Linked DNA regions of Oryctolagus cuniculus. The protein of the gene in region 1 binds, or shares a complex with, the protein of each later gene. Links are inferred from orthologs where the notes say so. Each region holds a gene or a part of one and is shown on either strand. Other genes may lie near its edges.

Region 1 (5,735 bases):
GACTGGAAGAGGGGCAGCTGGGACTCAAACCTGCGCCCATACGGGATGCCGGCATTGCAGGCAGTGGCTTTACCCAACACGCCACAGCGCCGGCCTCTAAATTTTTTTTAAAAGATTTTATTTACTTATTTGAGAGGCAGAGTTATAGATGGAGAGAGAGAGAGAGACAGGTCTTCATCTACTGGTTCAGTCCCCAAATGGCCCTAACAGCTAGAGGTGGGCTGATCCGAAGCCAGGAGCTTCTTCCATGTCTCCCATGTGGGTGCAGGGGCCCCAGCACTTGGGCCATCCTCCACTGCTTTCCCAGGCCACAGCAGAGAGCTGGATCAGAAGAAGAGCAGCCAGGACTCAAACCGGCGCCCAAATGGGTGCCAGCATCGCAGGCGGAGGCTTAGCCTGCTACACCATAGCGCCAGCGCCGGCCCACCTCTTCGGGAAGGAAATCCCTGGTTCTTCACGGCTCATGGAAATGGAATGAATATAACCCTCGTCTGGGAGAGCCCTCCCCTCCCCATGCACCACCTAGAACCCTGTTGGGCATCCGTCTCCGCCCCATTCCTTCACGTGTTCAGTCATGGGCGTCATGGGCTCGGGTCATCACCCAACACTGCTGGGCCCAGAGTCCAGCTGTGGCTCCTGGGAGCTGTCCGCCCTCAGACACTGGCCCGACGCTGGGCCCCGGCTTCCGTCCGCCTGCCTCGAGGGCCTCCTCACTCCCTGATGCTGCACCACCTGTGTGCCTTGTGCGGACTCCGTGCCCGGTGCTGCGGGGCGAGGCGCTTCCCGGCCTCCTGGGTGGGCGGGGCGAGGAGACCCTGTAAGGTGCACGCACACCCCCAGAGGAGGATTTCTCTTATGGGTGCACGGACCAGGAAGTGGAGCCCCCCGGCTTGGGAACCGACAACACTCCCCCGCCAATGAGAACTCAGACAACACGGGCAGGGGCTGAGGCTTCCCCTGCCCCCACAGCACCTGGACACGGAGGAGCCACCGAGGCTGAGCCGCTCACCGGCCGTCGCCACACCATCCGTGGGGCGTCTGTCCATGCACGACCCAGGCCACGTAACTCCGGGTGAAACCCCAGCTCTGCCAATTCACCTGGCGAGCAGGGGTTGTCCAGGCCGTGGGCGCGGCCGGAGCCTACCGATGGCCTTGTTCCAGTTTTCCTGCAAGGGCAGGTTTCTGGGGTCAGAGAGGAGAGCCCTGGCCTCGCTGGGGTGGAGCAGGTAACCCAGACGCACAGCCCTGGAATGCTGCTCGGGGCCTGGGGTCAGCCTGGGCGGCTGGGGTCCACGCCCGTGCCTGCTGCTTCACCTCGCAGGAACTGGCCGCGTCGGCCTCGCTCTGGCCCTGGCCACAGTGCAGCTTTCCGTCCTCAGTGCGCATGCCCGAGCCTGGGTTCCCCAGGAGCTGAGAATGGTCCAGCGATTCGGACACAGGTGGACTTGCAAACACTGCCCATTGCCCCACGCCCGGTATAGGGGCACCTTGTCCCACGAAGGGAGCTCAGAGGGGTCGTGGCACGCGCAGTGCTGTGTATTTTGGTGGAAAAGACGCTGGACAAGGGTCCTTCGCAGAGTTCGCGGAACATGGGCCCGACCACTAAGTGAGGCGTGGCTTTCAACACGGCACCCCAAAAAACTGGGTTTTTCACGTCACTTCCGCGGGCTTCTGGCAACAGCCTTACTTGCCCGGGGGTGCAAACTCGCCCCATTCAGGGGTCTCACCGGGGGTCCTCGCCAGCGCCCAAAGGCTGAGCCCTCTCATGGGCTGAGGAATCTGTATTTTTACAGACTTGGAACCAGTGAGGACCAGTTAAGCCGCCGTCTGCTGGGCTGGGGCACGCCGCGCCCCGGGGCTCGGCCCAGTACGCGTGTCTACTTGGGGGCCCGTGAGGAACGTCTGTGTAGACGCGGCCCAACCCCGCTCCGCAGCGCTCCACGCCAGGTGCGCCAAGTGCGCCAAGTGCGCCAAGTGCGCCAAGTGCGCCGCCCGGGGAAGGGCGAGGAGCGCCGCGAGCCCCGGGGCGGGGCGGGGCGGGGCGGGGCCGGCGTGCGGGGGCGGGGCCGGCGCGGCGTCGCCGGGCTCGCCAATCCGCAGGCTCGCAGCAAGCACGGTCCCGCCTCGCTGCGGAGAGCGCCGCGCTCCGATTGGCCGCCGCGGCTGTCTTCCGCCGGGGGCGGGCCCTGAGCCGTGGCGGGAAAGCGGCGAGGGCGGCCGTGTCTGCTGCCGGACGCTGAGGGGCAGGAGGACCCCGGGGGGCCTGGGCCGGCCGCTCGCGAGACCATGGACGCGGCCGAGGTGGAGTTTCTGGCCGAGAAGGAGCTGGTGACCATCATCCCGAACTTCAGCCTGGACAAGATCTACCTCATCGGGGTAGGGGCCCTCGGGCCCGCCGGGCTGTCCGCGGCGGGGCGCGGGGCGGGGCCGGCCGCCCGAGCTCGGGGTGGGGGCGTCCGGGGGCCGGGGAGCGAGCGGCTCGGGCTGCTTCGCGGGTCCCGGGCGGGAGAGGAGGGCCTGACCGTGGGAGGGGGCGGCTCTCCGCCCTGACGGCGCGTCGCCTCGGCAGGGGGACCTGGGGCCGTTCCACCCCGGCCTGCCCGTGGACGTGCCGCTGTGGCTGGCGCTGAACCTGAAGCAGAGACAGAAGTGCCGCCTGCTGGCCCCCGCCTGGATGGACGCGGGTAAGCGGCGCCCCGCGCCGGGGGCTCGTGCGGGCGGGTGAGCCCCTCGCCGCCGGCGTGTCCGACGCCCACAGCCCGCGGGGCCCCGCAGGTGCACTTGTTGGTCTCCGAGACGAGGCCGCTGGCGGGGCCCGGCGTGGGCGGGGAGGGAGGCCCCGCTGGGAGGCCCCGAGGCCCTGGGAGCTTTGCGCGACCCCGTGTGAGAGCGGGACCCCCGGCTCTGTGGGGACACAGCGGGCTAGCGCTCGCCCAGAGGACTTCGGGCTTTGTTCGTGGCGCGATGGGAGTGTTCTAAAATGGAGGTGACGAGTGCACGGCGCTCAGATACTAAAAACATTGTTTTGTCCACTTTTTCCCGCTTGAGACTTTTTTTGACAGGTAGAGTTAGAGCCAGAGAGAGAGAGAGAGAAAGGTCTCCCTTCCGTTGGTTCACCCTCCAATGGCTGCCGCGGCCAGTGCACCGCGCTGATCTGATGGCAGGAGCCAGGTACTTATCCTGGTCTCCCATGGGGTGCAGGGCCCAAGCACTTGGGCATCCTCCACTGCCCTCCCTGGCCACAGCAGAGAGCTGGCCTGGAAGAGGGGCAACCGGGACCGAATCCGGCGCCCCGACCGGGACTAGAACCCGGTGTGCCAGCGCCGCAGGCGGAGGGTTAGCCTAGTGAGCCGCGGCGCCGGCCCCATGACTTACTTGTTTGAAAGGCACAATGACACATCTTCTGTCTGCTGGCTCACTCCCCAAATGGCTGCAACAGTCAGGCTGGGCCAGGCCGAACCTGAAGCCAAGAAGTACATCCGGGTCTCACATGGGTGGCAGGGACCCAAGTACTTGGACCGTCTTCTCCCGCCTTCCCAGGCGCATTAGCGGGGAGCTGGATCAGAAGCAGAGCGGGCGAGACTCGGACCAGCTTTGGGACATGGGATGCTGGCGCGGCACTTGGCTTAACTCGCTGTGCCACAGCTCCGGCCCCGTGCGTCGCGTTAATGGTGCCTCAGGATAGCTGCTGGTAACAGAAAATGCATCGGTGCTGGCATTGTGTAGCGAGTGGAGCAGCTGCCTGCTGGCCGGCCGCCCCGGAATGCTCGTGTGAGTCCCGGCTGCTCCGCTTCAGATTCACCTCCCTGCCGATGGCCTGAGAGGAGCGGCAGAGATGGCCCAAGTGTTGGGGCCCCTGCCACCCATGCGGGAGACCCAGAGGAAGCTCCTGGCTGTGGCCTGGCCCAGCCCTGGCCATTGTGGCCATCTGGGGGGTGAACCAGCAGATGGACAATCTCTGTCTCTCCCCCTCTTCTAGCTTTCAAATCTTTAAATAAAATGCATCAGTCACAGGTTGCGTCTGGAGCCCTGGCAGTTCTGCGCCTCTAGCGGATGTGAGTGGCTCATTACAAAAGAAGATTTTATTTGTTGTTGGAGGGGTGCGAGCAGGCCTGTAGAACTCGGGGACCCCGCGTGGGTTGGGAACTGTGTTTCGTTTCATTTGAAAGGCGGTGATTTTCCTTCTGTGGTCCATACCCCGGGTGGCTGCAGCGGACGGGGCTGGCTCAGGCCAGAGCAGAAGCCCGGAACCCAGTCCAGCTCTCCAGCCCTGGGGCAGGGACCCCGCGGCTTCACGAGCTGCTGCCGCCTCACGTCAGCGGGATCAGGGCGTGTAGCCGGGGCTCGAACCCGCGCTCTGATAGGAGCTGCAGGTGTCCCGGGCAGCAGCCTAACTGCTGAGCCACGCGCCCGTGCCCACTAAGGATTTGATGGCCCCTCTTCACTGGGAGACTCCTGCGGGTCCCCTCCTACGGGCAAGGGCTCTTAGGGGGCCAGTCTGAGCTCAGGTTATGAGGGCGGCTTGGATGTGTCCCCCCCCCCCCTTCCTGGGCTTGATTAATTGGACTTTATTAACCCCCCAGCTGCGGCTGCGTCCTGCCCGGGCTCCTGTTTAAGGTCACCCCTGGCAGTCTGGGCTCCGGCAGATGCTAGGTGATGAGGGGCGGGAGCCTGGCTCCCGGAGGCCACAGCAGAGGCACGTGGGGCGTCCGCCTGAGCTTTTCACGTGGCAGGCCCCGCGTGGCGGTTCTGCCTCCCTGGACTTGAGTGGCTCGTCTCGGCTGTTATCACTCACCCCTGCCGCACGGGGCATCAGCTCCTCACTGCGCACCGTCGCGCTGTGCGGCTGTCCCACAGGTGGGCTCTGCTGTTGGTGGGTGTTTATTTTTGACTTGATCCAAGTCTTTGTGGATATGTGTTTTTTTTGTTTTGTTTTTTTGTTTTTGTTTTGAAAGGCAGAGTGCACAGTGAGACAGAAAGGTCTTCCTTTTTTTTTTTTTTTTCCGTTGGTTTATCCCCTAATGGCTGCTGTGGCTGGCGCACCACGCTGACCCAAAGCCAGGATCCAGGTACTTCTCCTGGTCTCCCATGGGGTGCAGGGCCCAAGCACTTGGGCCATCCTCCACTGCACTCCCGGGCCACAGCAGAGAGCTGGCCTGGAAGAGGGGCAACCGGGACTAGAACCCAGCGCCCATATGGGATGCCGGCGCTGCAGGCGGAGGATTAACCAAGTGAGCCACAGCGCCGGCCCTTTTAATTTTTTAAAACATTTATTATTTATTTGAAAGGCAGTTACAGGGAGCAGGGGAGCCTCTGTCCACTGACTCAATCCTCAGGTGGCCCAGCGGCTGGGGCTACGCCAGGCCAAACAAGCCAGGAGCCAGGACCTTCATCCGAGTCTGCTGCTGGCAGGGGCCCAGGCTCGTGGGCCGTCCTCGGCTGCTTTCCTGGGCACATCAGCAGGGAGCTGGATCAGACACGGGGCAGCCGGCACAGCACTTGAGCCGGCACTCCTGGGGGATGCCGCCATTGCGGGCAGCTGCTTAACCTGCTGTTCCTGACGGATGCCGCGGCCCTACCCGGTACCTACTGCGGCCCTACCTGGTACCTGCCGCGGCGGACCTGCTGGGGAGCTGTCAGACTGCCAAGCAGCCTCCAAAGCAGTTGAGCCAGCCTGATCCTCCCAGCAGTGTCCGAGAACTCCCACTGTGTCATGTGCCGGCCAGAATGTGCTG
Region 2 (2,981 bases), on another chromosome or scaffold:
AGGGCCCCTGCCCAAGTGCTGCTGAGGGCTTCCTGGAGAGTTTGTTCTTCCATCTGTGAGGCAGCCACAGAGCCAAGAGGAATATTTAAAGCAGGACGTGGGGTGTGGCGCTCTAAAGAGCCTGCCTTCTTAACTCTTCCCAGGTTGGCCCAGCACATCACCTATGTGCACCAGCACAGCCGGCAGCCCCCCGCCCAATTCGAACCTTTGGACATGAAGCTTATGAGGTAAGAGGCTGCTGGGGGGGGGACAGGTGTACTTCAGGCAAGTGTGCAGCCTGTGACAGCGTCGTGGCTGTGTGGCTCCTGAAAGGCTTTCACAGAGCGGGTGGGTTGGCTTTTTAATACTCTGCCCACCCTCTCCCTGCTACCCGCTTCTGCCACGTGCCAGGCGTAAGAACACCCAGTCTGGGTTCCCCGAACCTGGCTAGCCAAGGACCGCATGTCTTTAGAATCTGCCTTTCTCGCCACCCCCACCATGGTCCTGCCTGCGGGGGTGGGCACAGCGTTCAGGCTGCGCTGGATCGCCCTCCAGCTCTTCTCCATGGCCCCAGTGTTCCCGGTGTGTGCTCAGGGTCTTGCTGTGCGCTCTATCTACTGAAATAGTATGTTTCTAGTCCCTTTAGCCACATCATGTTTACAAGAGGGTGGGTGATCTTTTGTGACAGTTGGATTTGTCTTAATTTCACAGAGGTCACTTTCCTGAAAAGTTGAAAATCATCTGAAACATGATGTGGAAATCCCTCAGCGATACTGGAGTCAAACACAGAGTCACCCACTCGTTTTTCTGCTTAAAAGTCCTTACTTCTGAGAGTTTTCTCATTAAATGGAGGAACCATTAGGCAGAAAACACCATGCCCATGTGTGTACCCCATTCCCCCTCTTCATGTTCTGCTTTCCCATGAACCTTTTCTCCCACAGACGCTACATAGCCATGTGCCGTGAGAAGCAGCCCACAGTGCCAGAGTCCCTGGCAGACTACATCACAGCAGCATACGTGGAGATGAGGCGAGAGGCCTGGGCCAGTAAGGATGCCACATACACTTCCGCCCGGACACTGCTGGCCATTCTCCGACTTTCCACTGCTCTGGTGAGTGCCTGGTTCCCCGTACTGCTGGAGGGTGTCCGTTTCCATCCCTACTGGCAATGAACCCTCACTTGGTCCTCTCGCTGCCGCCTCCTCCCACACCCGCCCTGCTGGGGCTAAAGTGCTGACAGTGCAGATAGTGGTCCTGTCCGTGCTACCGCACTGTGGGTACTTGCTGCTCCAGCAGGGCACGCACGTCCACGGAAGGAGAGGCCTTCTCTCCCCACTTCTGCAGCCTCACTGAAGCGGGGGAGGGTCCCTCTCTCTCCCCACCTCCTTGATCCTGTGCTATAAGCTTCCTTTCTGTCCTCACATCTCGGACCGTAGTCCCGGGGGCTCCAAAGTGCTGTTCGTGCAGGTAGTGTGATTACCTGACCTACTGCTGAGCTAGCACTTCCCGAGCCCCTGGGACACAGCCTCTCTGCCAACCGCCTGCTAGGCTGAGCTCCCCAGGCTGCATCTGTCGTGGTGGGGAGCCCACTGGAGTTCGGAAGGGTCTGGTCTCCCTCACAGGACAGCTGAACACCGGGACTGGCCAGTGTTGAGAGGCGGAGACTTGGGCAATTGCTGGACGCTGCCCTGGGCATTGCACTTGTCTCGGTCTGACAGTGCCGGCCCTACACTGCGGATGTGGGGGAGCAGGGGAGGGGTCCCTGCTCCTTTTGCGAGCAGACGGCACATAGGTTGTCCAGCCTTAAAGCTGGAACCAAGGGGGTTTCTCTGACTTTATTCCATTCTCCTCCTGTCCCCCTCTCTCCCCTACTTTCCCCTTAGGCACGTCTGAGAATGGTGGACACAGTGGAGAAGGAAGATGTGAATGAAGCCATAAGGCTCATGGAGATGTCCAAGGACTCACTTCTGGGCGACAAGGGGCAGACAGCCAGGTGAGTGGTTTAATGATGAGATTGGGTCACCTTGACCGTTGCAGGCTTCAGCATCCAGATGCATGAGCTGACCACTCTCCGTTGTCACTGTCAAGTGTCCTGGCTTGTGCCCTGATTCCATACCCTCGTGTTTCCTTCAGGACACAGAGGCCAGCAGATGTGATATTTGCCACTGTCCGCGAGTTGGTCTCGGGGGCCCGGAGCGTCCGGTTTTCTGAGGCAGAGCAGCGCTGCATATCCCGTGGCTTCACACCTGCCCAATTCCAAGCAGCTCTGGACGAGTATGAGGAGTTGAATGTCTGGCAGGTCAATGCTTCCCGGACACGGATCACTTTTGTCTGATTCCAACCTGCTTGAGACCTTGGGGACCCACTGTGCTCGCCGCTCACCTGCTGCCTTTGCAGGTGTAACCCAGCTCCGGAGGGGTGGGAGGAGCCCCTCTTCCTGTGCTGCACTTGCTTGTTTTGCTACTTTTGTTAATATAATAAAGTGTGTAGATTGCTGCCTTGTACCTTGGTCCTGACTTCTGTTAAACAGGTGTTATGGGGCTTTAAGAGTCCTCTCTCCTTCCCCTTTATGCTGGCCCTACCCCATCTCTGAGCTTTCTGAGAAAGTACCTTCGCTACCCACCAGCCACCACGAGATGCTGGGGAGGCAGTGAGGAGCAAGTTCCTATTTAACCTCAGCACCAGTGAGAACCATAGGCAAGACAGCGGTTCCCTTTCCTATTTCTTGAGGTGTATCCATCACAACAGCTCAGATAGCTCGATCCCCAGCTTCTGTAAAGCCCCTTCAAGGGGGCTGAGGAAAAGACCAGGAGTGGCATGCAGTGGTGTTACCAGGCACAGGTAAATCCCCGCTTTCTGGCCTTTCCCAAGTGAGTGCCAATAGCACCACTGTCAACAGGCAGGGGTGAGGCACTGGGTCAGTGCAGTAACCCAGGGGAAACCACTCCCTCTAATTCTCAGCACCCACAGGAGCCAGGCTTTTGAAATGTCCCTAATAAAAATG

Evidence for each region. Proteins that work in one complex are often made in the same cells at the same time.
Region 2: GINS2 (region 1) and MCM7 share a complex: the UniProt entries of both Homo sapiens proteins name them as parts of the CMG helicase complex. The link is inferred for Oryctolagus cuniculus from reciprocal best matches to the Homo sapiens genes GINS2 and MCM7.

The regions. Positions count from the first base shown.
Region 1 is NC_091449.1:66,848,883-66,854,617, reverse strand, and holds the start of GINS2 (DNA replication complex GINS protein PSF2), read left to right. Parts: upstream 1-2,166; 5' UTR 2,167-2,286; coding exon 2,287-2,376; intron 2,377-2,569; coding exon 2,570-2,684; intron 2,685-5,735. UniProt on the Homo sapiens protein: Required for correct functioning of the GINS complex, a complex that plays an essential role in the initiation of DNA replication, and progression of DNA replication forks.
Region 2 is NC_091450.1:42,362,448-42,365,428, reverse strand, and holds the end of MCM7 (DNA replication licensing factor MCM7), read left to right. Parts: intron 1-143; coding exon 144-227; intron 228-920; coding exon 921-1,089; intron 1,090-1,203; exon of another isoform or gene 1,204-1,264; intron 1,265-1,425; exon of another isoform or gene 1,426-1,487; intron 1,488-1,632; exon of another isoform or gene 1,633-1,692; intron 1,693-1,860; coding exon 1,861-1,970; intron 1,971-2,110; coding exon 2,111-2,312; 3' UTR 2,313-2,481; downstream 2,482-2,981. UniProt on the Homo sapiens protein: Acts as a component of the MCM2-7 complex (MCM complex) which is the replicative helicase essential for 'once per cell cycle' DNA replication initiation and elongation in eukaryotic cells.